7 linked regions of the Ovis aries genome follow. The protein of the gene in region 5 interacts with the protein of the main gene of each other region in a biochemical or structural test. Links are inferred from orthologs where the notes say so. Each region holds a gene or a part of one and is shown on either strand. Other genes may lie near its edges. The genes, in order: MTMR1, PBK, GUCY1A2, NET1, DLG1, ADGRA2 and TMEM178A.

What was found.
Region 1: the proteins of DLG1 (region 5) and MTMR1 interact in a test that uses a peptide from one of them, tested with the Homo sapiens proteins (2 studies listed by IntAct, with this or other methods). The link is inferred for Ovis aries from reciprocal best matches to the Homo sapiens genes DLG1 and MTMR1.
Region 2: the proteins of DLG1 (region 5) and PBK form a complex in vitro, tested with the Homo sapiens proteins (2 studies listed by BioGRID and IntAct, with this or other methods). The link is inferred for Ovis aries from reciprocal best matches to the Homo sapiens genes DLG1 and PBK.
Region 3: the proteins of DLG1 (region 5) and GUCY1A2 interact in a test that uses a peptide from one of them, tested with the Homo sapiens proteins (2 studies listed by IntAct, with this or other methods). The link is inferred for Ovis aries from reciprocal best matches to the Homo sapiens genes DLG1 and GUCY1A2.
Region 4: the proteins of DLG1 (region 5) and NET1 form a complex in vitro, tested with the Homo sapiens proteins (3 studies listed by BioGRID and IntAct, with this or other methods). The link is inferred for Ovis aries from reciprocal best matches to the Homo sapiens genes DLG1 and NET1.
Region 6: the proteins of DLG1 (region 5) and ADGRA2 form a complex in vitro, tested with the Homo sapiens proteins (2 studies listed by BioGRID and IntAct, with this or other methods). The link is inferred for Ovis aries from reciprocal best matches to the Homo sapiens genes DLG1 and ADGRA2.
Region 7: the proteins of DLG1 (region 5) and TMEM178A interact in a test that uses a peptide from one of them, tested with the Homo sapiens proteins (2 studies listed by IntAct, with this or other methods). The link is inferred for Ovis aries from reciprocal best matches to the Homo sapiens genes DLG1 and TMEM178A.

The regions. Positions count from the first base shown.
Region 1 is NC_056080.1:84,854,056-84,858,712, reverse strand, and holds the start of MTMR1 (myotubularin-related protein 1), read left to right. Parts: upstream 1-1,657; 5' UTR 1,658-1,787; coding exon 1,788-1,954; intron 1,955-4,657. UniProt on the Homo sapiens protein: Lipid phosphatase that specifically dephosphorylates the D-3 position of phosphatidylinositol 3-phosphate, generating phosphatidylinositol. Could also dephosphorylate phosphatidylinositol 3,5-bisphosphate to produce phosphatidylinositol 5-phosphate.
Region 2 is NC_056055.1:102,233,836-102,238,667, forward strand, and holds the start of PBK (lymphokine-activated killer T-cell-originated protein kinase), read right to left. Parts: upstream 3,130-4,832; 5' UTR 2,991-3,129; intron 2,721-2,990; 5' UTR 2,558-2,720; intron 1,405-2,557; 5' UTR 1,385-1,404; coding exon 1,327-1,384; intron 235-1,326; coding exon of another isoform or gene 151-234; intron 149-150; coding exon of another isoform or gene 74-148; intron 73-73; coding exon of another isoform or gene 1-72. UniProt on the Homo sapiens protein: Phosphorylates MAP kinase p38. Seems to be active only in mitosis. May also play a role in the activation of lymphoid cells.
Region 3 is NC_056068.1:16,133,437-16,137,479, reverse strand, and holds part of GUCY1A2 (guanylate cyclase soluble subunit alpha-2), read right to left. Parts: intron 2,532-4,043; coding exon 1,816-2,531; intron 1-1,815. UniProt on the Homo sapiens protein: Has guanylyl cyclase on binding to the beta-1 subunit. Isoform 2 acts as a negative regulator of guanylyl cyclase activity as it forms non-functional heterodimers with the beta subunits.
Region 4 is NC_056066.1:42,754,951-42,759,567, forward strand, and holds the start of NET1 (neuroepithelial cell-transforming gene 1 protein), read right to left. Parts: upstream 3,234-4,617; 5' UTR 3,102-3,233; coding exon 2,974-3,101; intron 2,190-2,973; exon of another isoform or gene 2,106-2,189; coding exon of another isoform or gene 2,053-2,105; intron 1-2,052. UniProt on the Homo sapiens protein: Acts as a guanine nucleotide exchange factor (GEF) for RhoA GTPase. May be involved in activation of the SAPK/JNK pathway Stimulates genotoxic stress-induced RHOB activity in breast cancer cells leading to their cell death.
Region 5 is NC_056054.1:192,365,049-192,369,091, forward strand, and holds part of DLG1 (disks large homolog 1), read right to left. Parts: intron 3,622-4,043; coding exon 3,445-3,621; intron 136-3,444; coding exon 66-135; intron 1-65. UniProt on the Homo sapiens protein: Essential multidomain scaffolding protein required for normal development. Recruits channels, receptors and signaling molecules to discrete plasma membrane domains in polarized cells.
Region 6 is NC_056079.1:32,184,746-32,188,788, forward strand, and holds part of ADGRA2 (adhesion G protein-coupled receptor A2), read left to right. Parts: intron 1-499; coding exon 500-571; intron 572-823; coding exon 824-895; intron 896-1,032; coding exon 1,033-1,104; intron 1,105-1,355; coding exon 1,356-1,519; intron 1,520-1,861; coding exon 1,862-2,075; intron 2,076-2,877; coding exon 2,878-3,042; intron 3,043-3,656; coding exon 3,657-3,855; intron 3,856-4,043.
Region 7 is NC_056056.1:84,529,282-84,533,324, reverse strand, and holds part of TMEM178A (transmembrane protein 178A), read left to right. Parts: intron 1-1,796; 5' UTR 1,797-2,657; coding exon 2,658-3,057; intron 3,058-4,043. UniProt on the Homo sapiens protein: Acts as a negative regulator of osteoclast differentiation in basal and inflammatory conditions by regulating TNFSF11-induced Ca (2+) fluxes, thereby controlling the induction of NFATC1.

The sequences.
Region 1 (4,657 bases), on a different chromosome or scaffold from region 5:
ATCACTCAGGTAGTCAGGTACAAGCAGTGGTGTGCTGAATGGATTCCTCTTTGGCCTGATTCTCCTTGAAGAGTATGAGACTTAGGATATGTTTAAAATGTCACCATTTTCTTCCTGACAAAGCTCAGAGCAGATAGGGTAGGATGCCCATACCTCCTTTTAACAAAGTACTGGACTGAAAGTGGGTGTCTTAGCTCAGGCTGCCATAACAAAATACCAGATACTGGGTGCCTTAAACAACGAGCACTTATTTTCTTACAGTTCTGGAGCCTGGAAAGTCCCAAGATCAAGATTCTGGCAAGGTTGAGATAATTGGGACAGCTTTTTTCCTGGCTTTCAGAGAGCTGCCTTCATGCTATGTTCTCAAATGGCCTTTCCTCAGTGCGTCCTTGCAGGGAGAGTCCAAGCTCTCTGGCATCTTTCCTTAGAAAGGCACAATCCAAACATTTTAGGGCACCAGCCTTATGACCTAATCACCTCCCAAAGGCCTCATCTCCAAATACCTCAATACCAGTTTGATGGTTAGGGCTTCAACATATAAATGGTGGAGGTAGGGGGAGAGACAAACATTCCATCTGTAATACTTAAGCATTTTATTTAATAATTTTGGAAAATCAGAAGCCAGCAAGAGGTGGGTCTCCAGTATATCTGGAAATCTGCCCTTCCTTCCTCCTAACTCTTCTCACCCTGCCACCCTTTCACCCAAGTCTCATCCACTCTTGGGTTGTTAGGGTTTCAAGCATCACATTCTCACAGTTCAGTTGGAAGTTATCAATGTGAGAGGGCAAGATGGGTTTGGGATGGGAACTAATAACTCCCTGTCTACAGGTCTACCTTTTATCAGAATGCAAACTATTGCCTTTATATTTCACTGGCCAGAGTTTGGTCAGAAGTCATACCCAGGACAATCACAGGCAAGGGGCAGTAGCCATCATTCCCACCTCCAACTAAATCAGGGGTGGGTAACGGGCTGTGAGCCCATTCGATATGCAAACCCTAATAGAATGGTCAGGAAAATAAATATAAAGCAGGAATTAAATATCCTAAATGCCTTTATCATCAGATTTGGACTTGATTTCCGCAAGCGGTGATTTAGCCGACAGAAGTTACACGTTGCTGATAATATAAACTAAGGGCGGATGTTCCGAGGGCGGCATCAGAACACTTGGTTGCCCTACAGATGGCGGGGAGGTGGCTTTGTGGGTGCGTGAAAGGGCGGCTAAGAACGGAGTGAGGGGAGGTTGCTAAAATGTATGGGATTGCTCGGGGTTGGAGATGTCAAGAGCAGGGAGGCCCACGGGCGTTGGGGCTTCTCCCACCGCAAAACTTTTCTAAGGAAGGAAAACTGATGGAAAACGAATTGTACTGAATACTAGAATTACTTTAAACTTTTTTTCTTCTTTAACCCTGCATCTAGGAGTTTCCCGAGCAAAGCGCGTTCTGCCTAAGTCGTGGGTCGATTTCGACCCCGAGTGGCTTGGGACGTGTCCAGGTCGCCCGGGCCTCACCCCGCCGGCTGGCGGGCCGGTGGCCCAGGTGGGGCTCTGGCGGGGCTGGGGGTAGGGGGCTGGGGACCAGGCTCCGGGTCGCGCACCGCCCTCCCCGCCCCCCACCCCCACGCGCGCGGCCTTGTGGGTAACGCCGGGCGCCAGGTGACAGCTAATGGCGGCGGCCGTCTGAGCCGGGCGGGCGGCAGATCGGGGCCGCCGGAGGCGCGCTGCCGGACTTTCCGGGGCGCCGCTCCCCTCCCGATTGCGGCTTCCCCGCGGCGGCGGGCTCGACGCGCCATGGACAGGGCGGCGGCAGCGGCGGCGGCGGCGGCGGCGGCGGCGGCGGCGGGCTGCGAGAGCGGCGGGGGCCTGGGCCTGGGACCGGCGGGCGGCAGGAGGCCCCCTCGGGTCGCGGGGGGTCCCGCCGTCGGCTCCCGGCAGCCCAGCGTGGAGACTCTGGACAGGTAAGCGGGGCCCTGCCGCCCCCACCACGCCCCGACTCCCGAGGGCCCCGCGCGAGGCCCGGCCGCCCCTTCCCCGCTCGCCGGCCTGAAGCCGAGCCGGGGAGTCCGCCTCCCGTCTCCCCTTCCCTGTCCCCTCCCTGTCCCCTCCGGAGCCCCGCGAACCCCTGCCTGGTCGCTGGTCTCGCACCTGGCTCGTTTTCACAGCTCGCGGAAGCTTCCCCGCACCTCGAGGGGCTTCGCAGCTGTCAAACCGCGGCCCAGGCCGCCTCCCACTGCACCTGGGAGCCGCCTCGGCGGCCGATACCCCGGCCACAAATCGTTGGGAGGCATTTTCATCACGGCGCCCTCTTTTTCGCATGACCTTGCCTCGAGTGATCTCAAGATCCAAATCCCGCCGCCGCTGCTTGGGGGCTTTGACGTGGGGATTGTGAGGGGGTACTGGGGGGTGGAACCCCGTGGGTGTCGGAGCTGGTACAGATGGAGGCAAAGATACCCTCATTTCGATGGAAAACTTCCAAACTGCTCCTGATGCAAGAACACATCAGCGTTTACTTTCAGTTCCTCACACTTTGAAGGGACCAGTTCATTGTTTTCACAAACACGTAAGGCCACTGCCTGAGAACTAAGCCCACAGGCAGAGAACTAAGATCAAGCAGTTAGAAGCATAAACCGACCAGATCTAAGTGGGAGGGCCACCCTGACCCTCTGAGGACAAGAGTTTGGTGATCCCATCTCCTGGAGTATGTAGCTTTCCCTCATTTTGGGCATTTCACTGACACTAGAGTGAGTTAAGGCATCCCGGTCCTAAAGCCCCTAGGACAGTTTTAGATGTTGGTTCCTGCCTTAGTCACTCCAGTGAGATAAACTTTGGGGAGTTTCCAAAGGCATAGGAACAACAAGAAACACTCCCTTTGTGTAATTACAGTATGTTTTAATAAAGTCATTACCCAAGTGGTCAGCTTCTCTGAAAACTAATCACAGCTAAGATAGTGGGCGGAATGGTCAGGGTTGCACTATCTGTAGATACTCTATGATGTATGAGTGCTTGGAGAATTAGAGAGTAATGGCAGACGGCTTTTGCACTCTGGCTTAACATCTAGTGGAGAATACAAATAAAACAGCCATTGAAACCAAATGTGATAAGTGCCAGGGTGGAGGTGTGCTTGGAATCGCTCTGGATGACATGTGCATGGGAATCATCTGAGAAGCTATTTAAGAACTCCAGGTGGCCAGACCCCACTTCTGAGGCTTCTCATTCAGGAGATTTGGGTGAGGCCTAGGTGTTAAAATTTTTCAAAAAGGGCTCTACCACCTCAGTTGTGATCCACTGCACTATGGTACCCAGAGGTAGGGTATTCACTTCATTTTTAGTGGTAGGGACGGACAGGGTGCACTGTTTGGCCACTGGAGTGAAACGTGTGTCATATCCTGGCTGGATGCTAGATGTGGGGAATGGGTAGTAAAGGCCTGTAGGAAGGCAGGGGCTAGATCCTGATGGGGCCTGTGTGCCTTCCAAGGAGCCATGCCTTTGTCTTCTGGGCCAGTGCTTCTCCACACAGCTCTGTAGAGCCTGAGTCAGAATCACCTCTAGTGCTTGATTCAAATACAGACTCTTGGGTCCCACCCTAAATCTGATCCACCACCTCCTGGGTAGAGCCTGAAATTCTGCATTTTTAATAACCACCCTAGCTACAAGTAGACTGGAATCTGTGGTCTCTTTGGCTCCAGATGGTACAGAGTACTGGTTGGGCCAGTGAGATTATCAGTAGTATGCTTCTGCAACTCACACTGGTGTCCTGGTTTGGAAAAGGAATTATATGGTCACCTAGTTACGGAGGCCACAAGAGGAGTTTCATCAGGGGAGCTACAGGGTGGCCTCTGCATTTGAGAACAAGTGCCATGCAGTAGTGTTGTGAAGGGACTGGAGGCAGGGTGGTCTCATTGAGTTAGGTTAAGTAGGTTCTGGAAATGCTCCTCTCTCAGTCATTTATTCTGTGAATATGAGAACCTGCTCTGTGTCTGGCACTGTGCTAGGCCTGAGGATATAGCTAGGAACACGCACACACAAATCCCTGCCCTCGTGGGTCACCATTAGTGGGAGAGAGAAACCAAAGACCAAATCACATGTGTTCTGTGTTAGATGGTGATAGGTGTGGGGGGACAAGAGTCATCCGGGAGGGATAGAAGTGGCTGGGGTGTGCACTCTGGGCAGTGCTGGGAGTGTGGTGTAGGGTGGTCAGGGAAGGCCTTTCGGAGAGAAGTGGCATTTCAGTAGTGCCCCTGAAGAGGGGCCTAGTCATGCGCATAGCTGGGTGACAGCACTCTAGGCTGAAGCCTGTGTCACCAGCACAGAGGATGCTGGGGAGACGCAGCAGAGGACAAAGTCAGGTCACAGGGGCCACAGACGGTGGAGTGGGTGGCGTGGAGCAGAGGAGGGACAACACCTGGTGTAGATTTCAGTAAGGTCTCCATGGCTGCTGTGCGGATGACAGACCGGAAGGGGAAGGAGTTGAATCAGAGAGTCTAGCAGGTGGGAGGCTGTTGCAGTCGTCAGAATGAGAGAGGATGGTGGCTTCGAGTGGAGCCGCGGGCTGGAGGAAAGGAGAAGTGGTCAAGCTTAACATATCATCTGAAGGACATCTGCAGGGTAGAGCCAGCAGGGTTTGCTGCAGGGTGGCAATTGTCTAGGAGAAGGGGAGAATT
Region 2 (4,832 bases), on a different chromosome or scaffold from region 5:
TTTCAAAACAGAAGAACTAGATTCCATGTCCAGGAAAGAAAAGAACCCGAGGAGGCCTCAGAACAAAGACAATTAGGGACAGGATCCTAGAGATGAGAGAATTCAAGGTATAGAAACTACACAGAATGGCAGCAGTCTCACCAGTGACTGTCTTATTTCTCTGGAGCCAGAACAGGGGAAACAGAGACAGATTCAGTGTACTTGATTACATTAGTCTGGACTCCAAACCTCTAACTCTTCCTGGAACATACCCTTCTAAACACACCTTCAGCTTCTCCAGGAGCTGAGCCTTCTGGAGATAGTAAACAAGACTTCAGGTGACAGAGACACATACAAAGCATCACAGAGAAAATAAATTTTATTAATATCATTTTTCAGCAATCACAGTAATGACTAATTTAGGCAAAAATCAAGGAAAGAAGAAAGGAAGGGAGGGAGGCAGGCAAGGAAGAAAGAAGAAAGGAAGAAGACTATGCCAAAAGGGTTCCTATATGACCCACAAAGCCTAAACCATTTACTATCTGCCATTTACAAAAAGTTTGCTAGTGCCTGCACTACGGCATGCAGCCAAAGATACCATATACACACGTGAACGTACGCATGCAAATAGTGGGGTCTGGTTTTAGAGCTACAAAAAAAAAAAAAAAAAAGAGAGAGAGAGATAAAAGCCTAAGTAATCATCATTAGAGTCATAATTACAGCACATCTATATTACAGAGTAGTATAAGGTTATTAAAAGAGATGAGATATAGTAGTCCTACTTTTGCTCATGAACAATTAACTGCTCTTGGATTGCCCTTTTGCCATTAACAACTAGAAAATTTGACAAAATATAACGGCTTTCACATACTTCACAATAGACAGGGCAGGACTATAAACTCTGAGAGGAGAGAAACTAATGAGGTGAGTCCTATCACTGCCCTCACTTACCGCCTAGAGACACCTTCCAGGCTGCAGCACCAAGAAACGAAGCCCAAAGCTCTTGTCAAATTGAAGTGACAAATTACCCTGTGTCTATTGAATTGCCTTGGAAAATACCCTTCCCATATATAGAGGGGGAAAGATAAAGTAGTTCCTTTGAGGTTCAAGTTAAATTGCTTCTTCACCAGGGAGAACCTACAAATCTGCTAGAATGTCAATAAAATTAGATCACAGATGACCAAACTCTGACCTATAAAAGAAGTCTTATTTCTTAAGATCAACACTATAAAGATGACTTATACTAAAACTGTTCTTGTGTGATAGATAACAATAAAAAGATTTAACTGTAATACTATGAAGACATTTCTGATATTAGTAACAATGAAGAAAGGTTTTATAGATTACCAGATTTCCTTTTTTCAGATAATCTGCTTGGTGTCTTGAAATTATTGGTTTCTTCCATTGTAATAATCCCTTAAGGTCCTATGATAAAAATGAATAGAAAGGTACACTGCAGTTATAAAGAATACATCTTTCATTCATGAAGAAAAAATTCCTATAATACTATCACTTATTTACAAAAAAATTGAGAACTGAAAAAGACCATGACAAATATTTAGTCCAATTGTATTTACAATGAGAAAACGGAAACCCAGAGAGGGAAAAAGATAAAGTAAAATTAAAGATAAGTAAAATTACATACCCAAGGTCATGCTATTAATGATTGTGGATTTTTGTTTTATTTAAAAAATAATATATGCACTTGGTCAAAAAAAAAAAAATCACCTAGTACCCCCCCTCCACTTCCCAGGAGTGGTTATTAACAGATCTTTTATATGCTTTTAAGAGCTTGGCTTTGTAAGCAGTATTATTCATAATAGCCAAAAAAAGGAAACAGAAATAGCCATCAGATGATGAATGGATATAGAAAAGATGGCATATACTACACACAATAAAATATTATTCGACAGAGTATATATTTTACATAGGGAATATTATTTAGTCATTAAAAGGAATGAAGTACTCAGGTATACTGCAACATGAAAGAATCTTGAAAAGCTTATGCCAAGTAAAAGAAAGCAGACAGGAGAGGCCACTTATATGATTGTTTTTCCACACAATATCCAGAAGAGGCAAATCCATGGACAAAATAAATGAGTAGTTGCTGCGGGCTGAAGGGAAGAGAGAATGTGGGGCGACTGCTAGTGGGTGTATGCCATCTTTTTGGGGGTGATAAAAATGTTCTAAAATTAGGTAGTGGTTTAATATATTCAACTCTATTCCAAAAACCACTTAACACTTTCAAAAGAGTGTATTTCATGATATGTTAATTACATCTCAATAAACTATTAGTTTAAAATTATCTGTGAAAATACAATGTACATACTGTATACACAAGCAAGTTAATACAGGCTTTTTTTTTCTTCTGTAACATATTTCCTTAAAAATCTTTTTTATTAAAAATAATTACTATTCTTTTGAAAAAAGGTTTGGTTTTGTATTAGATTTACTGTAAAGCAAACTGTTACTACCTGTCTGTAAGCTCGTTTGAATTGTCCATAAAAAAATGAGAGGAAGAGAGAACATTTGCTTAAATGCTGCATAGAGCCACTCAATATCCCTTAAAAAACAGCACCTGGGCGTCCCATGTGGCATGAGTGGTAAAGTATCTGCTTGCCAATGCAGGAGGTTCGATCCCCGAGTCGGGAAGATCCCCTGGAGGAGAAAACGGCAACCCACTCCAGTATTCTTGCCTGAAGAATCCCATGGACAAAGGAGCCTGGAGGGTTCCTACGGCGCTTTCATAAAAAGTACAGAGTGTCAAGCTCTGATTTGAGAAAAGAGCGATTTCTTTCTTCGAATCCCCACCGTACCCCGTAATTCTGATGCGCACGCGGGTCGCCAAGATGCTTCCTAAGATAATTCTCAGTTTAATGCATATTCCCAACATCTTCCTCCTTCCTTCCAGGCCCCAAGTTGTCAAAAAAGTAAAGAGGCCGCGGCTCGAGGGGCGCGGGACTCCCGGCCAGGCCCACTCGCAGCAGGACCCCTAAAAGCTCTCTCCTTACCAGAGCCACGAGGTAGGACGACGAGACGTCCAGGGAAAGGCTGTCTTGAAAACTGGTCCCGAGTGGCCCCCAACGCTCCGCGGCCCCCTGGGGTGAGGGGTGGGGTCCGACCTGCCAACACACGGACTCGGCAACCGTTGTTCCTACGGGAACCCGCCGGGCTTTCAAAACCACGCACGCACCGCCCCTACGTCGATCGCGAACTACGGGGAGGCGCAAAGGACACACCAAGCCGGATTCGCCGTTCCTGTTCTTTTCAGGCCTTCCACTCTGTTTATAGATCCCACCTTACTACCCAGTGCTGCTGCTGCTGCTGCTGCTGCTGCTGCTGCTGCTGCTGCTGCTGCTGCTGCTGCTGCTGCTAAATCATTTCAGTCGTGTCCAACTCTGTGCGACCCCATAGATGGCAGCCCGCCAGGCTCCTCTGTCCCTGGAATTCTCCAGGCAAGAACACTGGAGTGGGTTGCCATTTCCTTCTCCCTTACTACCCAATAGGGATGCTTTGAAGCCAAATAAAAGGTAGAGAAGCGCAGCAAAGGACGAACTGACTTTTGCAGCCACTATCAGCCCTTCAAAGGGACAACTCCAGTTAAAAAGAAAATGTATGCCTGTATTTAGACTGAAATCCTTTCCCAATTACGACGGCTGTGCCCAGAATGTGTGATGGCTGTTTTGTCTTTTTTACTGCAAATTTGGCCTTGAAACACTGTAACTAAAAATGCCCCTGTCTTGAGTAGCAATAGTTTTTGACTGAGAAGAAACACAGATACTCAGAAATTTTGCTACCTCTTGTAATCACTACGTTCAGTTCAGTCTTGTCCGACTCTTTGCGAACCCATGGACTGACTATACAGTCCATGGAATTCTCCAAGCCAGAATACTGGAGTGGGTAGCCTTTCCAGTCTCCAGGGGATCTTCCCAACCCAGGGATCGAACCCGGGTCTCCCGCATTGCGGGCGGATTCTTTCCCAGCTGAGCCACAAAGGGATGTGTTCATTTATTCAACAAATATTTAGACAGCATCTTCCCCTTCTCGGGGAGATCTTCCCCTCCCAGGAATCGAACGCAAGTCACCTGCTTTGCAGGCAGATTCTTTACTGTCTGAGCCACCAGGAAAGCCCAGAGAGCACCTACTATGTGCCGGATATGTGTCGAATGCCCACTGCAGAAGATATACTCTAGCAATCACTGAAAGAGACACAAAGATGATTAAGTCACAGAACCCTCTCCTGCTCAGGAGGAGCTTAGGCAGAGGGGGATGAGGGAAGGGTAGGGAAGTGTCCAAAGAAAGAAACACACACACAACACAATACAAAGGAGACTATAATGTAGGCAACTATAGCTGAAAAGCCCATCTTTTTGCAAATGAGGAAACCCAAATGGCACAGAGAGGTTAAGTAATTTGCCTAAAGTCACAGAGCCAGTAGACGGTAGAGTCAGGATTTGAACTCATGCTTAATTTAGTGTTCCTCTTTAACAAATATGTTCAAAACCTCTTCCATCTTACACACACCACACACACATGTCTCCACCTTCAGGGCCCTCCCATTTTTGGCCACCCTCTCCTAAGCAGAGATGGTCTCTTTGTGTGTTTTCAGTTGCTCAGCTGTGTCCCATTCTTTGTAACCCCATGGACTGTACCCCACCAGGCTCCTCTGGAATGTTCCAGACAAGAACACTGCAGTGCGTTGCCATTTCCTCCTTCAGGGCATCTTCCCAACCCAGGGATCGAACTGCAACTCCTGAATTTGCAAGTGGGTTTTTTATCATTTAAGCCACCTGGGAAGTACCTTCTCTCTGATATTTTTTGCAGAGGCATAATACACACCTCATCATCTTTTT
Region 3 (4,043 bases), on a different chromosome or scaffold from region 5:
TAACAGATTGAGCTCTTCCTGGTCGAAAATCAGATTCCCCTTTGCCTCTCTTTGGAAATCTATTTGATGCCCCTCAGTGACATTCTTGCTTCTGGTAATCAACACATGTCTTTGGACCTTATTACTGCAGAATAAAGATATAAATTCTCCGAAACTAAGATGATGACTACCTCACCAAATTGCTCACAGGAGTATTCTGCCTCTAGCTACATAGTTAACCCTAACTGACAACACAAAACGACAAAGATCATGGTTTAGTGAAAGCAATACAGTTCACTCTGAAAATGATTTACCGTCATTCAGCTTATGATTAGCTCTTGTTTTTTTTTGTTGTTGTTGTTGTTGTTTTTCTTTTTGATGGAAGGGGGTGGTAGATAATTGGTAGTATGTGCATAGCTAAAATAGTTACATTCCAAAGAAAGCCTTCACTGTAGACTAAAGACTAAATATCTTACACTGTTGAAAAATAGCACTTTCTTATAAAAGTCCAATATAAAACTGGAAACTTCAGACAACTATTAACAAGGCCAGCAATTACAGAAAAAAAATCATGAATCAAGGCCAAATTTATCAACAGGATCATAATTTTTAATTCTGATTTTCTTCTTTTCATGTTTTAGAAAACTATAATTTTGACACTAAAATAACTGAAAAATATCACTCATCTGGTTAAGATTCCGTGTCATAACTTTATTGACTATAATTTCGTTTGGACTAACTGTAGCCTCTTGAATGTCTCATTCTAGCAAACCCAGGTGAATAAGCAGAAATGTAAACAGAACAAGGGATTGCTATCCCTATTTTAAATAAAAATGCTGTCTCTTGCTAGTTTATTTTTAAACAGCTACTAACATATTTAAATTATAATTGGATCTTCTTAATGAGCAGTTTCTTATTATTGGAACTTGCAGGGGGCCTTGACATTTGAGTCATCATCTCATTTTGTCTATTTCTTACTGTGATATACAAATTAAATAGACATACAAGCCAGATGAAATATAGGGGGGGGACTTGAAGCAGTAACTTAAAATTGAATTGATTGTTCTAAAATCTATAAAATATATAAAGCAATCAACATTGACAACAATATATTTTACTTCAAGCACATTTTCGATAATATTACCTTCAATTTTAAGGCTCAAAATGCTTCAATCCCTCCCAGCCAAATACTGTACTTCTAGAAAGCAAAAATCACAGCTTTAATATTCCTTAAATTTAAAAAATAGAATAATTCCAGTGTATTCTCTCAAGGAGTGAAAATGTTCTAAAGAAATGCCTATTTTCAACACTAAAATTTAATTAGAAGTTTTGATATAGTCACTTAATATATTGTTCTGCATATTAAGAAAAATAGGATGTAAACCAGAGTTCCTAGGTTGTGAAATTTAGAACATAACATATTCAAAGTGTAGCTAGCTTTTACTTGTATTTATTTAAGGATAAGGCAAGCAATTCCCACAATGTTGAAGTGAGTCTTACTATTTCTCTCAGAGCTTGACTCAATCAGTGGAAATATTCGCGGATTTATAATATCAGGTCTTTAGTAAATCCTATCATTTTTGTAATTACTATGGCTAGTAATAATAAATGTCTGCTTTTTGTGTGATGAAATAGATTAATGAAAGAGGCAGACAATATGCAAAACAGCTGGGAATAGGGTCAAGTCTTTTTATACATATCCAGAAACCAGTAATTTTCTAAATGGCACTCTAGGTTCTCTTGCCTAAATAATTATAAGTACTGCCAGCATGTAATATACTAAAAGAAGTATGAAATCTCGCAGTTCCTTTCACCCATATCAACATGGCCACTTACCTTGTCTTTATTCTCAGTGCTAGAAGCCTCAGGCTTGGTCCTAATCACAAATGGGGTGGAGAGGCGCAGCAGAACCCTTTCGAAGGTGGCATTAACCTTCGGAGAAATGATCTCAAAGCAGTCCTCAAACTTGAGCACTTTGTGAGTGTCACATCGGAGCTGCTTCCTTAGGCCTTCCCCCAGCTGAAGGACTGACATGTGGGGGTCAAACATCAAGTGAAAAGGGAAGGCTCTGCAGAAGGTGTTGATGCTAATTCTGAGGTCTGCAGGAACTTGGGATGTTCCCTGAGGAAGGTTCTTCGTGATATTAGCATTTTCACATAGTCTGATAAGGAAAGCGAGGCCATTACAATTGCCTGGGTTTGAACCATCGGAGCACAGTTTCTCAGCGACCTGGTTCACTTCCACATCCAGCCGATAGATCTTCTTTCCTGCAGCCTTAATCATTCCAAGCATTGCAAACCCCACAATGTGGTGAGGGTGGAAGTAGTGGAGTATAAGAGTACCTTCTGGGAGCTCTTTGCATAGGAATGATGGTGACTCTAGAGTGGCCTGTTTTCCAAAAGAAGTTCTAATATGTTCCAACAAAGCATCAAAGCCATTAAAAAAGTCCTGCAATGTGCCACCTACAGCTCGAAGGACTCTCTCATTGTCATCAAAGCATATATTAAAGAACTCCTCACCAAATCTTTCTTGGATTTCCTCAAACTTCAAACCTAGAGGTAAATGGAAGCAAATGTTAATAAGATATAATACAAGTAATTGAATTTATTTTTTTAAGTAATTGAATTTATAGCTTTTTAAATGTTTATCAGAAGAGTAGCTAGTGACCAAAGCAAGAGAAGCAGTCCCCTTGGGTACACAAATTTCCCCAATACGTTAAGTCATTCATTTTGATTTAGAGAAAGTAAATTTCAGTTCATCTTCTGGATGCTTCTAAGATGTTAATGAGCATAAACATTTTGTTGTTGTTTAATTTTAAATATACTATTTTTAGAGTAGTTTTAGATACATAGGAAAACTTAGTTGAATATATTGTCCACGTACTCCCGTTCACTTCCCGGACACAACCTCCTCCCTTGGAAACTACTGATATTGTACACTACAGTGGTACATTTGTTACAATCAATGAACCTATATTTATATAACATTATCATCCAAAGTTCATGGTTTACATTAGGATTCACTCTTGATGTTATATATCCTTGAGTTTAGACAAATGTGTGATAATATGTGCCCACCATTTTAGTATCATGCAGAGTAGTTTTGCTGCCCTAAAATCTGTTGTGCTCCACCTATTCATTCCTGGGTCCCCTTAACCCCTGGAGCATGATCTTCTTAAAACCTGCTAATCTAGCTGTTTTTCAATATTATATCCCATTCGCTGTAATTACCATGAATATTATATTTTACTTAGCAATTTCCCTCACCATTGAATAATTTTAAGATGCTATTATATCCATTCAATATTATTAATTATCACAATTCATTTGTTAAATGGGAAATATAACCAGAGAGGGACTCTATGGTACACAAGCAGAGACAAGCACCAGGTTATCTTGAACAGACAGAATTGCTTAAGTTACAATAGTAATCTCAAAAAAAAACCATGCAGGTCATCTAGACCCCAGGAATGAAGAGACAAAACAAGGAATTAAAACTGTGGAATGATCTGCATTCATTCCTTCATTCACAAAAATGAAAGCAGACAACCCTGGAATAGGAATCTGACCAGAGTTAAAAGTCTTTGTTAAGTTTTCTCCATTCATACTTATTCCCAGATGCCATGGCAAAAGGAAATCTACCTTTTAATAATGGAATTATAGTGATAAATAAATATACACAATGCATTATATAGTAATTTCAAGCAGGATCATATATGATCTATCAATAGTAAGATCCGCCCTGAGAAAGAACACCACACAGATGAAAGAGTTGAGTTTGTATCGTAAATAAACCTTCTTTGTAGAGTTACCCTATTGCTTCTCCTTTGACTTTGGCTGAAATCAGTTATATGTTGTTTACATATACTCATATTTTGTTTCTTATCTATCTCATCTTATAAGGAGGTCCCAAAAATCTGACAGGAAAAGACAGGTCCCTTTGCTAGTGTCCGGTTAGAATGCAAGCCAGTCTATGTTGCCTATGGCTTAGTGCGCTATTCCCTATAAGTTCTCCCCATCTAGAAGTGGGGGGATAAGACAGAGTCAGTAACATTGTTAAAAAAT
Region 4 (4,617 bases), on a different chromosome or scaffold from region 5:
TGCCCAGTGCTGTGATTTCAAGTCTATTTGCTGATAAGCCCTCAATTTATATTTGGTTACACAGATGTGTTTACTTTGTGACATTTCACTGGGCAAAACACTTATGATTCATGCATTCTTTCATTTGACTGTTAAACTTCAATGAAAGTTTTTTTTTTTTTTTTCAAGAGAAAAAAGCCAAAAAAGAGAAAAGGGGGAAAAAATTGTTGTGATGCATTCCTTAATAGGAGCCTTTTAACGCATCCCAAAGCAAACTTCTCTCCAGGAACACGGAAACCTGGTCTTCTGGTGCTCAGATTAAAAACCTCGGAATCATTCTCCATTCCTCTGTCTCTCTTAACTCCACACTGAATCCATGTGCAAATCCTGTCAGTGCTACTTTAAAAATACATCCCAAATAGGAGTACTTTCCACCATGTTTACCACTCAGATGTCTCAAACTGCAGTAACCTCTTCATTAGTCTCCCTGATTTTCTCCCTGCCACGTAACAGACCAATCCTTTTAAACTACACATCACAGAATTTTCTATTGTCTCCCAACCATAGATTCAAATTTGAAATCTTTCTGGTGGTTGGCCATGTACTACCCGATCTGACCCAGGCATCTCTGTGACCTCGCTGTCCACCTTTCTCACTTTAATTTGCTCCACTCCAGTTACCGTGGCTTCTCTACAGTCCTTGAACACACCGAACAGGATTCTACTTTGAAGCCCTGTACTTACTGCCTTTCTCCCCACATCTTCACATGGTGGAGTTCCTTAATTCCTTCACATCTCTGCTTAAATGGCATCATTACCATGGAGGAGAACTGTTTGATCTTTTAAAAATAGCAAAACTGAACCAATACAGTATTGTAAAGTAAAATAAAGTGAAAAAAAAAAAAAAAAGGCAAAACTGCCCCTCTCCTTATCTCTGCCTGTCCTGCTGCTGCTGCTGCTGCTAAGTTGCTTCAGTCATGTCCGACTCTGTGTGACCCCAGACGGCAGCCCAACAGACTCTCCCGTCCCTGGGATTCTCCAGGCAAGAACACTGGAGTGGGTTGCCATTTCCTTCTCCAATGCATGAAAGTGAAAAGTGAAAATGAAGTCGCTCACTCGTGTCCAACTCCCAGCAACCCCATGGACTGCAGCCCACCAGGCTCCTCCGTCCATGGGATTTTCCAGGCAAGAGCACTGGAGTGGGGTGCCACTGCCTTCTCCGATGCCTGCCCTTACCATACCTTAATTCTCCTCACAAGATGACCACCTGGTATTTCATTATCGTCTTTCATTCCTAACCAGAATGTAAGCTTTATGAGAGCAGAGACTTCATCTGTTCACCAAAATCTCTTAATATCTGCAACACTGTGAAGATCTAGGAAAGTGCAAGTGTTAGTTGCTCAGTCGTGTCCGACTCTCTGTGACCCCCACAGACTGTAGCCCTCCAGGCTCCTCTGTCCATGTGATTCTCCAGGCAGGAATACTGGAGTGGGTTGCCATGCCCTCCTCTGGGGATCTTTCCAGGCAAATGCTCAAAAGCTTTATTGAATGAACACAGAATGAATTTATCACTGTTCTTCTTCCCTTCACTACATGGTCCTGATTCTCCTATTTCTCAGTCTCTGGGATGATGACGTCTTTCTGCTTTTTCACTACCTCTTAAATATAAGTTGTAATCAGTATAAAGGTTTCAGGCAAGGATTATCCTAATCTTCAAAATAAAAAATCAATATCTAATGAAAAAGTCTAATTCTCTGCACGATGACTTATTAACTGTGAGTTTACAAATGCTCTGTCCATGAAATTAAGGTGTTTTCCTTTCTCTGAAAAAATGACTGGCACATCCAAGCATGACTGGAATGTAACTTCAGTAAGGAACTGTAGTTTAAGAATAAGTAGTGGACCACAGGGACTTCTGAAAAGAGAAGCAGATGTGGAATTACTGATAAAAATCAGCAAATAACAGTTTGTTTCTAACTCCTTGCATACAGGCTCACACAATGACCTCACTGAATTGCACAACTTGGAGGAAGTGGATACTATTTCAACCCTATATGACAGATGAGGACCCAACCTTAGAGATGAAAGGTCCAACGGCTGGTCACAGGAACCCAGGGCCTGCAGCATCCTGACGGGAAAGCAATGCCCCCAGCCCTCGTTCACCGCTCGCCTCGCAGACACCGCCTCTGACACCCTCGGCCGGTGTCCTCCCTTCGCAGACGCACAGGACAGAATGAAATGTGTCAATAGCTAAAAAGTCCAAGATGGGCCTCTGCGTCCTCTTTACCCGGGAGGCTGGGGTCCTGAGCTGCGCCCTGATCACCGACTTGGTCAGAGGCTCGAAAGGAGGGACTGTGACCTCGGCGAAACTCTTCATTTTAATGCTTGCTTTTAGGCTAAAAGTTTGGTGTCTGGTAGAAGTCCTCGGGGGCTTCCCTGGTGGCACAATGGTAAAAGAATCCGCCTGTCAATGCAGGAGATGCTGGCTTGATGCCTGGGCTGGGAGGATCCCCCGGAGAAGAGAATGGATCACAAGAATCCCAGGATTCTTGTCTGGGGAATCCTTGGACAAGAGGAGCCTGGCGGTCTGCGGTCCATGGGGTCGTAAGGGGTCGGACACGACCGAGCGACTGAACAAAAGAAACTCTCCGGCTCCAGGAACGATTCCAGTCCTCTTAGCCAGCAGCTCTCGGTGGGCATTTAGGAACCGCCCCCGCCACCCCCAAATCCAGCCCGAAACCTGCTGGGTGTGCAGAGAGGACCTCCACCCCCTGAGCGGGGAGGGGAGACGAGAGGGAGGAAGGAGAGGAACGGGAGGTAAAAATAAAGGAGGGTCAGGCGATCGGAAGAGGGGGACGAGGGGAGAGAGGAGGAAGCAGAGGAGAGCAGGCAGCCCTGCTCTCCCCTACCCCCGGCTCCTTCCCTGCCCGCCACCCCCTCCCCAGCCTCGGGCCCCACAACCCGAGTCCCCAGGCGCCGTTCACCCCGCGCTCACCTGCCGTCCGGGCCGGGCCCGGGGGTGTCGGCCGCTGGCTCCGCGGCGCCGCCGGCGTTGAGCCCCGAGGCCCGGCGGCTTCGCCTCCGCGGCCGGCTCTGCTCCTGGGCCTCCAGCTCGGGCTCCATGGCGCGGAGGGGGCGGCGCGGTGGCTGGGTGCCCGGGAGGCCCGCTGGGAGCGGCACGGCGCCCGGCCTCTGCGGCCCGAAGACGGGTTCCTGTCAGGACGGCGCCGCCACCTCCGCCGCCGCCATCTTCCGGGGTTTGAAAATGGCGGCCGTGCGGACACCAGCCAATCAGGGGACGCGGCGCGGTTGCTAGGATCGTGGAGTCCCGCCCCTCTCCTTCCTTAAGGCGCTAAACTGTTCGGAAGCTGTGAGGGGGAGCGTGGTCCACAGGGTCGCCCGGCTGATGAGCCAGAGGCCTGGGGTCTAGTTCCTAAATCGCCAAGGCCCGATTACTAGTGTACAGTTCATTAGGACTTTCACCACAAGTCAAGGGAAACTGGGAAGCATTTTCAGCTCAGTTCAGTCGCTCAGACCTGTCCTACTCTTCGTGACCCCATGGACTGCAGCACGCCAGGCTTCCCTGTCCTTCACTATCTCCCAGAGTTTACTCAAACTCATGTCCATTGAGTTGGTGATGCCATCCAACTATCTCATCCTCTGTCGTCCTCTTCTCCTCCTGCCTTCAATCTTTCCCAGCATCAAGGTCTTTTCCGATGAGTCAGTTCTTTGCATCGAGTGGCCAAGCGTTGGAATTTCAGCTTCAGCATCAGCCCTTCCAATGAATATTCAGGACCTATTTCCTTTAGGATGGACTGGATGGATCTCCTTACAGTCCAAAGGACTCTCAAGAGTCTTCTCTGAAATCAAAGTTTAGAAGCACAATTCTTCATTGCTCAGCTTTCTTTACAGTCCAGCTGTCACATCCATACATGACTACTGGAAAAACCATAGCCTTGACAAGACGGACCTTAGTTTGCAAAGTAATGTCTCTGCTTTTTAACATGCTGTCTAGTTTGGTCATAGCTTTTCTTTCATGGAGCAAGTGTCTTTTAATTTCATGGCTGCAGTCACCATCTGCTATGATTTTGGAGCCCAGGAAAATAAAGTCTCTCACTGTTTCCACTGTTTCCTCATCTATTTGCCATGAAGTGATGAAAGTGGATGCCATGATCTTATTTTCTGAATGTTGAATTTTAAGCCAACTTTTTCACTCTCCTCTTTCACTTTCATCAAGAGGCTCTTTAGCTCTTCTTCGCTTTCTGCCATAAGGGTGGTGTCATCTGCATATCTGAGGTTATTGATATTTCTCCTGGCAATCTTGATTCCAGCTTGTGATTCATATAGCCTGGCATTTCACATGATTTATGCTGCATATAAGTTAAATAAGCAGGGTGACAGTATGCAGCCTTGACGTACTCCTTTCCCGATTTGGAACCAGTCTGTTGTTCCATGTCCATTTCTAACCATTGATTCTTGACCTGCATACAGATTTCTCAGGAGGCAGGTCAGGTGCTCTGGTATGCCCATCTCTTGAAGAATTTTCTGCAGTTTCTTGTGATCCACACAGTTGAAGGCTTTGGTATAGTCAAAGCAGATTTGGATAAACTTAAGCAAATTCATCAGTGGTTGTGCACAG
Region 5 (4,043 bases):
TAACTTTAATAATGTAGCTCAAACAAGAATTATGAAAAAGTCAATAACAGATTTCATATACGCACCCCTTTATCTCCTCTTGCTTTAGAATTGAATTTCACTGTTTTTAATCGGGCTCGTTCTTTCTTCTCAACCCTGGCAAAGCACAGATCATTTTTTAAGTATAATAAACATATTCAAGGCTCTAACTAGAAATCATCAGGACTGCTACTTTAATATGGAGCATTTTTATATTTTAAAGCCTTTAAAAGTCATTTGCATCTCACAATTAATAACAACTTCTGAGAAATGAAATATAGGGCTCATTTTATTATGAAACAAAACCACCTGTGAAGTATAAGTATGTATACTTTTATATACACTCAAATCCATAACTATATTGAAATTATTATGATGTACCACTTCTGAGTTCAGCAATTTTCCAGGTTTTCCATTTGTTCTGGTTTTTGAATATTTAGCTTATGGAACACATATGCTAAAAATTCAATGTCACAGCGAAAGCAAATGAAGTAAAGTGTTAACAACTGAGGAAAGTAGATGAAGGAAATATGGGTATTCTATGTACTATTCTTGTATTTCTTTTGTACTTATATTTTCTGCAGCTCTGAAATTTTTAAAAATAAAAAGGAGGGAAACAAAAACATTTAAGCTTAATTCCAATGATATATTTCTATAAATACATAAAATAACCACTTACAGTACATAAAATATAGTTTTAAAGTATCTTTGGAAGGATACAGAATGGTAACCTTAGTTAACTTCTCAGGGAAGAAGGTGAAATGGGTGGGTGGGGAACAGGGTGCAGAGGGGGCCTGTACAGCTGTTAAAATCTTTTGAATTTTAAACCTTGTTGAAAGTGCTACTTTTGAAACAAGCAAGCAACATACTACAACGTATATAGTGTACAATCTACAGCCATGTATGAATATTGCAACCAGTATGAATCTTGAAAAATTTCATACAAATTAAGCTTTATAAATCCTTGATTTCAGCATAGCAATTATATTAGTATATAGCAGAAAAACCTACCAAAAAGCCTATGAATAAAAGCATATCCTTTTTTTTTTATCATCTAACTATAAAGTTTTACCATGGGTACAGAATAACCCTAGCAGTCACAGATTTAAAATTTTTGTTTTTACTATTCCAGAGCAACCTTGAGGGTCCATAATAGGAATAATTAATTTATAATTTTGCCAAGGCACTTATTCAGGGCACTGAAAAACTAACATTTAGTAAATGAACATTTACAACTCAAATGGCTTTGTTTTCTAATCATTATTTTGCTTACTAAATAGTTGAGTGACTTCAACTGTGTTTGTCAATACTGTTCCTGAAAGAAAGATAAGAACTGTAGGAACTCCAAGTCCTTGTGCTATTATTAAAGATGATAGCATTCTATGTAAAAAAATACAAGTTTAGAATACACTGAAGGATGAAATGGCATAATTGGTTGTGATTTCATACTGTAATTTATGGCAGGAAAATTATATTTTATATTATTATTCACGAATTTGGGAATTTGTAGAGGTGTCAAGGTGTATCTCTTTTATCACTTTTGACTTCAAAATCCAACCTTACAGAATTTTTATACAAAATGAAAAATATCTCTTTCCACCAAAGTCAGCTGTATTTCTCATTTGTTGCAGACACATGTAAAGCCTTTGCAAGATAAAAGATTTCCAGAGATAAAGGCAATTTTTAGGAACTCTGACCTTGATATTTAAGATGTGAGGTTTCTATTGACTCAACAAGGCAAAGAGGAAGCATTTCTGTGTTTAAAGGATACTATATTCTATTCTAGGGAAGAAGTTATGCTGAGGGTTGCATTGCTAAAAGAGGAGTTGTCACCAAATAGTTGGATCTTGCTGAAAATATGGATCTAGCCAACAACAGTCATAAATTCCAAAACCACAGTTACAGAGATCTTCACAATATTTCAACATTCTTCAAAGCCTATCAACAGATGTACAAATATATATATGGTAGAGAGGTTTATAAACAGGCATATGATTTGGCATAAGTATCAATTTAGAGTCTCAACAAAATAAGTATATGTCCAATTTATTAACAAGGAAAGAACAAGTTTATTATATCATAAGCTTGACTTGAAGTGAATTAACTAGCTAAAATAAACATTAATGACTCTCTGACAATTTTCACTGGTTATCTTAAAACTTAAGTTTTAGGCAGTGATTTAGCTGAATCAGATCTCATATATAAGTTCTTTTGGGGAAATTATGAACTGATGTTTTAACACCTTTCCCGTAGAAGTAGAGACATCCAATAACATTTCATTGACCTCAGAGAGAGTTGTTGGGATCACCTTTTTCAAAGAAACTCTGTACTTAACCACTTATGCCACTAGATGGTAAGTATGCACCAGTGAGTGAATCACTACAATAATCAGTTAAAACAAAGAGGAAAGACTACTGAATGCACAGATGATTCTAAATTAAACAAGAAAAAGAGATGATATCTAAAAGAAATAAACATTTCTAAAAATCTAAAATATCTAAAAGATAATTTTAGATATTTCTAAAATTTTGCATTTAAAATGCTTTATCTTTTTTATCTAGAAGAGGCAATTCACACAATCAAAACCCCTGAAAATTTGAGTTTTAACACCACCTACATGGGAAAACTCATAGCTCAGTCAGTAAAGAATCTGCCTGCAAAGCAGGAGACCTGGGTTTGATTCCTGGGTCAGGAAAATCCCCTGGACAGAGGAGCCTGGCAGGCTATCGTCCATGGGGCTGCAAGAGTTGGAATGACTTAGCGACTGAAATTAAACCACCACATGGGAAAATTATAGAGGTTTTTAATTCTTTCTCTACTGGTATAGATCTGTGGCACAGGCACTTAAAATATACTTACTTTGTTTTTAACAACTAGTAGGAACTTTAGAGAAATTTCTATTTGGGGGCTTCATATTCTCTCACTATATCATTGGTTAAAATATAAAGTGAAAGGAAGTGAAGGTCACTTAGTTGTGTCTGACTCTTTGTGACCCCATGGACTCTACAGTCCATTGGATTCTCCAGGCCAGAATATTGGAATAGGTAGCCTTTCCCTTCTCCAGGGGATCTTCCCAACACAGGGATCAAACCCAGGTCTCCCACACTGCAGGTGCGTTCTTTACCACCTGAGCCACAAGGGAAGCCCCAAAATACTGGAGTGGGTAGCCTATTTCTTCTCCAGCGGATCTTCCTGACACAGGAATCGAACCGGGGTCTCCTGCATTACTGGTGGATTATTTACCAAATATGCTATCAGGGAAGCCCAGTTACAATACAAGGTGAATAAAATTAAATGGCTGTGAAACACAATATAAAACACCAAGCATAAAATCATCACTTCAGTAAAAGAAATTTAAAAAAAACCCAGCAATTATTCACATTGCCCAATTTTCAAGTGGTAAGACTCTAACAGACTTATATTTACCTGCGTTTACTGGGAATCACCCCAACTTCATCACTTTCGCCATCTGGTGTAACCTGTCTGGCTTGCCACCATTCATCATCAGAAGCATTAATAACATGGAGGATATCTCCAAATTTGAAGTTCAATCCCTGACTAGGAAGGCCACTGTCTTTAGTCTTGTCATAATCAAAGAGGGCCCTAGATTAAGAAGAAAAAAGTCTGCATTTCTTATAATGATATTATCAATATTAAATAAACAGATCCTAAAAGTATATATATAATTTAGGTAGATAACAAAACAATGTACCACGGTAGGCAAAACAATGCCAAGCTCAATTTTGTGTTATATACAAGAAGACAATGAGAGTAAAAAGAAATAGCAAAATTAACTTGTAATGGTAACAGACATACTATTCTCTCAGTAGTGTATGAGAAATTTATATTGTATGAGAAAATAAAAAAACATACTTTTAGTACAATCCAATAGCAAACTATATTGAATTCTAAAATGAAGACAAATCTGGTGAGTTGCTCTAAATTAATAAAGTAAATATTAGAGACTCTCCTCTTTGACTAGACACACTTGGGAAAACAAATTTCCTAACTGATCTGATTCATCA
Region 6 (4,043 bases), on a different chromosome or scaffold from region 5:
TACCTTTGTGTGGCAGATCCCCGTGGTCGGAGGAGGAGCCCGGCGGGCTACGGTCTGTGGGGTCACAGAGGGTCGGACGCAACTGGGGGACTGAGCGCGGCACGGCAGTCCACAGAGGACCGTCACGCCCATTTTCACATGCTACCACAGCAGCCCTGGGAGATGGAGAAACTCGGGGCAGCTCGTGGCAGCTGGGGCCTCCTGACAGCAGGCTCGGGGCCCTCCCCTCCCATTTCCACGGGGTTTGCCGCCTCGTTCGTCCATCCAAGGCCCTTCTGCACCCTCCCTGCGCCGGTCTGACCAGGGAGCCGGGGAGGCCGCGGGCACCCATCTGAGGGGCCAGGTCCTTCAAGCGGCCTCCTGGCCGCCACTGAGGACACCAGGGATTTCGAGGGCAATGGAGACCCCAGCCCCGACTAGGGCAAGAGCTGCCCACCCAGGTGGGCCATGTGCCCCCCGAGTGGGCGAGGTGTCAGGGCCCTCCGCTTGTCTTCCGCAGGGACCTGAGAAACAACATCATCAGCACGGTGCAGCCCGGCGCCTTCCTGGGTCTGGGGGAGCTGAAGCGCTTGTGAGTGGTGTGTCCTGACCACCGTGCCCCCAGGCCCCGCATCCCTGAAGGAGGTCCCGTGGATCCCAGTCACCCACCGTCCCTCTTCACCATACATTCGGTGGGGGGTGGGGGGCAGACGCTTCATGCCCCAACCCCATCCCCTTTTTCTCCGCTCCCCACACAAGCCCCAGCCTCACATGTGTGTCCCTCATGGGTGGACCCACGTGCTGCCACGTGGCTGACCTGCTGAGGGTCTGCATGTCTCTCCAGGGACCTCTCCAACAACCGGATCGGCTGTCTCACCTCCGGGACCTTCCAGGGCCTCCCCAGGCTTCTCCGGCTGTGAGTGCGGGCAGGGAAGGCGGGGGTGGAGGGTGGGGTGTGAGGGAAGGCTCCCCAGACCCTCATGGGCCCTGCATTCTAAGGGCTCACCCCAGCCCAGGGAGAACCTAAGATCCCGTCTCCCTGTTCCACTGCAGAAACATATCTGGAAACATCTTCTCCAGTCTGCAACCTGGGGTCTTTGATGAGCTGCCAGCCCTTAAGGTGGTGTGAGTATCCTTTCCCCAGGCCCTTGCTTCCTTCCTCCGCCAGGAGGGGGACACATAAACACTGCAACCACGTGGCCAGCCTTCTGAGGAGGTGGGGCTGGGCGAAGCCCCACCGTCTGCGGTGATGCAGGGCGCAGGCTCGCGAGCAGAGTTTGCCCTCTCCAGCCTCAGTCTATCCCTGGGGCTCCATCCCCACCCCGGGAGCCCAGGGAACCCCTCTGCTCTACCCTGGGTCCCTCCACCCTCTGCAGGGACTTCGGCACCGAGTTCCTGACCTGCGATTGCCGCCTGAGCTGGCTGCTTCCCTGGGCCCGCAACCGCTCCCTGCAGCTGTCGGAGCGCACGCTCTGTGCCTACCCCAGTGCCCTGCATGCCCAGGCCCTGGCCGGCCTCCAAGAGGCCCAGCTGCGCTGCGGTGAGCTGACCTGAGCCCTCAAGGCTCCCGAGGCAGTGGGCTTGGTCTCCAGGGCGTCCTCTCCCTTAGGCCCCACTGGGGACCCGTCCTCCATCCGATTTTCTAAACTTCCTGGGGGAGTGCTGCTTGGTTTATGGTTTTCATCTGGTCCCACCTCTTGGGGTGACAAAGCGTGCTATGGAAAGACGCACTTTTACTCGTTCAAAACCTGCCTGCTCCTCTCTTCTGCTTTAATCTCTGGAGACACTCCAGCCCCCTTCTTCTGAACTAGGGTGGGCTCCAGACAGAGGGGCCTTGTCCTCACCTGGCACTCAGGCTCACTCCCGGTGTCCTCGCCCACAGAGGGGGCCCTGGAGCTCCACACACTCCACCTCATCCCATCCCTCCGCCAAGTGGTCTTCCAGGGCGACCGGCTGCCCTTCCAGTGCTCCGCCAGCTACCTGGGCAACGACACCCGCATCCGCTGGTACCACAACCGGGCCCCCGTGGAGGGCGACGAGCAGGCGGGCGTCCTGCTGGCTGACAGCCTGGTCCACGACTGCACCTTCATCACCAGGTACAGGCCCTGCAGCCCCTTCTCAGCCCAGAGCATGGGCGGGGGGAGCCAGAACCCTCACCCACCCACCCACCCCCGAGAGGAGCTGGTCTGCTCCTGGGAATATCTGTGGGCGCGTTTATGCAGATCCAGAACTAAGTCAGAAATGGTCCGCGTGAGGGATACAAATTGAATTGTTGTTTTAGTCACTAAGTCATGTCCGACTCTTCTGCAACCCCATGGACTGTAGCTGCCAGGCTCCTCTGTCCATGGGATTTCCCAAACAAGAATACTGGAGTGGGTTACTGTTTCCTTCTCCAGGGGATCTTCCCGACCCAGGGATCCAATCAGTCTCCTGCAGTGGCAGGTGGATTCTTAACCACTGAGCCACCTGGGAAGCCCTACAGATTGCCTGATAGGAAAAAAGCTGATTAAATCTGACATTTCTTCAGTACCTTTACAAGGATACAGAGGGTCTCACCTATATTGTTGGACTTGCTCTCTGCAAACGTCTTGCAAGAGAGGTTTTATTACCTCCGTGATGAGGGTGGGGAGATTGAAGCCCAAAAAAACACTATCGTAAGGCCAGCATTAAGGGAGTATGAGCCTGTACCCTTGGCTCAGAGCCTGGGGGACTTCCTTGGTGATCCACTGCCGGGGGGCCCAGGTTCCATCTCCGGTGGGGCAACTAAGATCTTGCATGACTCAACTGAAAAAAAAAGAGAAAAGAGCCTGAAGCTGGCACCCGGGCGCTCAGGGAGGGTGGCGTGGCCGCCAGGAGCGCCTCCAGCCAGCCCTCGCCCGCCTGCCCGCCCGCCCGCAGCGAGCTGACCCTGTCTCACATCGGCGTGTGGGCCTCAGGCGAATGGGAGTGCTCCGTGTCCACGGTCCAGGGAAATGCCAGCAAGAAGGTGGAGATCGTGGTGCTGGAGACCTCGGCTTCCTACTGCCCCGCTGAGCGTGTCGCCAACAACCGCGGGGACTTCAGGTTTGGGACCACCCCTGGCCGTCCCCTGCCCCCAACCCAAGCCTCTGCGATGCGAGTGAACAGTGCCCCCACCTGCTCTAAGATGGAGAAAACACTTCCTCTTGTCATTCAGCTCCGAGTCCCGTTGGTGTGTTTAGAGAGACCATATATCCTTTTGTATAAAATCACCCTTCAAGATGTGCTGTGCAGAACAAACAGGGGTTTGGGGTTTCTTTTTTTGGGGGGGGGGTGCAGTTGCTTCCCTACGTGGATAGTTGACAAAACTCTCCCATGACAGATGTCACATTTTAATATCCCAGGGGCCTCTCCCTTAGTCAGGACAGGTGTTATTCTCCCATCCTACAGTTGAGAAGACTGAGGCCCAGAAAGTATAAGTGACCTGAAGTCAGGACTCCAAGGCCAGCCTCACAGCAGTGACAGCACTGTCCCAACAAACACAGCTTAAGAACTCAGGGGGAGCTTGGGAAGCCCTTGAAGTCCAGTCCACACGGCCTCTTCTGGACCCTGCCTCCAGCTCCCAAGGGGTCTGGCCTCACAGTTCTCAGGGCAGGGAAGGGACGGACCCTGGCCCTGAGGAGCCTGGGTCATCAGCAACTCTCCACCTCTGCCCCCAGGTGGCCGCGAACTCTAGCTGGCATCACAGCCTACCAGTCCTGCCTGCAGTACCCCTTCACCTCGGTGCCCCTGAGCGGGGGAGCCCCTGGCACCCGAGCCTCCCGCCGGTGCGACCGCGCTGGCCGCTGGGAGCCGGGGGACTACTCCCATTGTCTGTACACCAATGACATCACCCGGGTGCTCTACACCTTTGTGCTGGTGAGGCCGGGGCGGGGGTGGAGGCCATGGGGAAGGGGAAGGGGAGAAGCTGGCTGGCCCCACGGGGCTGGGGGCCCCTGCGTCCTTGGGAGGCACGGCGAGGAGCCACAGGGCCAGCACTGTGTCTCACACTCGTCTCCTCTTCCCGGGGATTCAGACTCCCCAGGGCCACACTCGGCACGGGAGGG
Region 7 (4,043 bases), on a different chromosome or scaffold from region 5:
TCAGCAGAGTGGGCCTAGTGGATGATCGTTCATTGTTGGAAATATCCAAAAGAGAAATTTTAAGAACATAGATGGCGGATACTCAGTTACTATAGCAAAACCTGTATACACATCATATGTCACATTCCTGCTGATGCTGTTAATGCTGCACCAGCAGAAGCAGTGCTCTCATTACATGCTGCTGGCCTATATTTGTAATGTGTGACATTTTTTATGAAATACTGTCAAGGGTAATCCATCATATAGTAACCTTTGGATTATATGCTGAGACTGGTTTTAAACATAGACATAAATGAACTTCAAGGATAATGCTGTTTTCAGAGAAGGGTATGATCAAAGGGTTCTGGCTAAGAAAATAAAGCAGAACATTATTTTCTTTTAAGTTAGACAGTAGTGCCTGAGAAAGAGTTTTCCTTCTGTTGGCTCCAGCTGGGGACATGGTTATTGTGTGAAGATAATCAGGTGACTCTGAAATGTGGCAGAATATTTATTTGTTGGAGTACATCAGGATTTGTAAAGGGAGTGAAGAGTTGCTTAAGGTTTGACTATCCTTGGGACTTGCAAGGTTTGTAATATCTTGATCTCAAGAGGCATTTCCAAAAAATAAAAGGACATATGATAACTAGAGTGAGTTTCAGATATCAGCTGTGAGTTCACAGTGAAAGATATTCTTTCTGTGTATCCATAAAGATTGAGGATTTTACACATATTATAGAGTATAAATAAAAGCAAGCTTCTAAGTCTCATCATTTTTTTGTGTAAATCCAGATAAGACTCCTTTGATGAGCTTAGCATTTCCTGTTAAGGAAAAGCTTATAGGTGAGAGGAACACTAAAATTATAATTCTTTGTCTTCCTTAATTAGACTGAAGCTCACCATAGATCTTGCTGAGACAATCCAAGTAATAATTCACATTGTCAGGTCAGCAGAAATAGGCAGGGGGTGCCCAATATGACTGAAAGATTTGCTCCAGTGATCTATCTGTGAAGGGAGGTACACAGCCTTCATGGGCAATATACCCTCTGAAGATGCTGAGTATAAACAGCAATGAAAACAAATCCCAGGAAGATTCTTATACCACCTTTACAGAGGTCATTTCAGAGGAAATATATAAATCATATTCATACCAACTGATATGGGGCACTAATTAGTAAGTCCCATTAAATCGTGGAGTAATGTCATTTAGCGTCCAATGAATGCCTCATCACCTTTTGATCATTAACATGGCAAAAGAACACAAAACTTGGTATCCTTGGGCTCCCACAGCATGGTTTTCTGTCTGTGATGTGGCCCCCTGGGCATTAAGTGGCAGGAGGGTATTGCTCCTCTATCATCAGATTCCACACAACACAGCGATTAACTCTTTCAGGACCCTGAGTCCTAAGGTTTCCTCATTTTAGAAAATGTGACTCTGCCTGCCATTCTCAATTAATGCCTCCGAGTGCCCTAGAAAGCAGAAGCAAGCTGAGATGTTGACTTTGGTGTGTAGTATCGCTCTGCTGCTGACCCTCCCAGCCCATGTAAGTTGCACAGGAGGAAAAAATAAAAAATCATCCCCTTGATTTATTACTAAGGACTTTATTTATTTAAGGACAACAATCACCTCACAGACCAGGTGCCACTGCAAGGGCTTATTGATCACTATAGACTTGTAGAAATTCCAGGAGGCCGTCATTCCAGTGGGAGATGGAGGTGGTCGACGAGAAAGAAGTCCATCTCTGAGCAGGCTGGAGTGGGAGAAAAATCTCTGGCCATTGGTCCATCGCTCTAGTGACACTCGGTGTCTTTTCTTTCAGAAGAGGGTCTGGAGCGGAGAGAGCGCTGAGAGGTTGCCGTGGGCGAGGAAGAGGGAAAAGCGGGGGATGACCGGGTGACAGAGCCGCCCAGGGGTCTGAGAGGCTGCGTTCTTCGGTGGAGGGACAGAGGGTCTTCGGCTCCGGATCCAGATTCCTGAGTTAAGTATCACCGCGCAGCCCGACCCAGATGGGATTCGCTTCTGGTTACAAAACGGGACACTGATCAACATCAACTTGGACAAGTGACAAGACTGAGTCTGATGTGGGTGGATGTCTTTTCAGGTCGTCGGAGGGGAGAGGACGGCTGAGCGCTCGTGGGTAGCTGGGGAGAAGCCTCGCGGCCAGGGCAGGGACAGAAAGGGACAAGAGCGGGGAGACAGGGACGAAGAAGAGGGAGGACGAGTTGAAGAAAAGTAGGGGCAAAGTAGAGACTGGGTGAAGGGGAGAGAGGAGGGGACAGGGGAAAAGTGAAGGTGGCGAGGAGAGGGATTCGAAAGGGAAGAGGAGTCTCGGGAGAGCAGGGCGGAAGCATCGATCGGGCGGTGTGGACAGCTGGGGGTGAGCAGGGTAGGGGGGCTCCAAAAGGGAGGGGAAGGGGCTGCGGGAGCGGCGGTGCAAGCGGGGTTGGGGGCAGCGAGCAAGTGCTCGAGGCGCCGGGTGGCGCGGAGCGGCGGGCCCGGGAGGAGGCGGGCGCGCGGTCGGAGGGAGCCGAGGAGGGAGCGCGCCGGGCCGGGAGCCGGAGGCCGCGGGCGGCAGGGGGCAGGTGGGGGAGCTCGGGAGAGAGGGAGCGGAGCGAGCCGAGGCCAAGTGCATTGTGTCTGGCGGCGGCGCGCGGGCCCACCGGCGGCGGGGCGAGCAGCCATGGAGCCGCGGGCGCTCGTCACGGCGCTCAGCCTCGGCCTCAGCCTCTGCTCCCTGGGGCTGCTGGTCACGGCCATCTTCACCGACCACTGGTACGAGACCGACCCCCGGCGCCACAAGGAGAGCTGCGAGCGCAGCCGCGCGGGCGCCGACCCCCCGGACCAGAAGAACCGCCTGATGCCGCTGTCGCACCTGCCGCTGCGGGACTCGCCCCCACTGGGGCGCCGGCTGCTCCCGGGCGGCCCAGGGCGCGCCGACCCCGAGTCCTGGCGCTCGCTGCTGGGGCTCGGCGGGCTGGACGCCGAGTGCGGCCGGCCGCTCTTCGCCACCTACTCGGGCCTCTGGAGGAAGTGCTACTTCCTGGGCATCGACCGGGACATCGACACCCTCATCCTGAAAGGTGAGCGCCGGGCGCGCCCTGCGCCCCAGGCGCCCGCTAGCGGAGGGCAGCTCGTGGCTCCCCAGGGGCGCCGGTCCCCACGGCCGCCTCCCCGCCGCGTCCCTGGCACACTCTTTCCTCTTCCCCGCCGCCTCCTTTCTTTATCCCTCTCCCTTTCTTTCTCCGTCCCTCCCTTCTCTCTGGCTCTTCTTTCCCCGACTCTTCTTTCCTCTTCATCCTCCTCTGTCTCCTTTGCTTCCGCGACCTCCTTCCTCCCCCTTTTCTCCTCTCCTCTCTCGTCCTTCGCTCTCTTTGTACACCTGCCCGACTTGGAATGCATGTGACGATTGCCGCTGGCGAGGAAGGGAACCCTCAAAAAGACCCAGCCTTGCCCAGTTGGGCTCCTTCCCTCAAGTTGTGCTTTCCTTTCAGAAATACCTTTGGAAGAAAAGTGGTGCAAATCTCAGAAGAGGAGGAAAGGGCTTTATTCTTGTACTGATTTAATGTTGGTAGCAGACGGGACTGATGTGGTCATGCCAGTCTGACAGGCTAATGGGGAGCTCAGGAGGCCGGAGGAACCTTCCTCTAAACCCCGAAGTGCGGGGTTCCTTTGGGTTAGACCTCAGACGACAGTAATGCCCTGGTGGAGGCAGCTGAATGCAGCTAGGACATCGACTGTTTTGCAGCCTTCCTCCTGATGGCTGGGCGCACCATCCTCAGTTCAGGGCGAGCAGAGTGGAAAACCTGCCCAAGCCTTTTAAAGTAGAGCTTTTTGTATTTGCACACGGAGTCTCTACAGAATCACCCGCTCAGATTTTGATACTTTGTTAGGCTGTTTTGTTAACATCAGTTTGCTCTTCTGAAGTCTAGACGATACCTGGCTCCCAGGCGTGTTGGATCCTTTGAATTTATTTATTTATTTATTTTTTGTGATCTCGTTCAGTGTGACAGTCCTATTGCTGAAGCTTTCTTCTAGCTGTCAGAGCTTGACCCTTATGATAAATTCT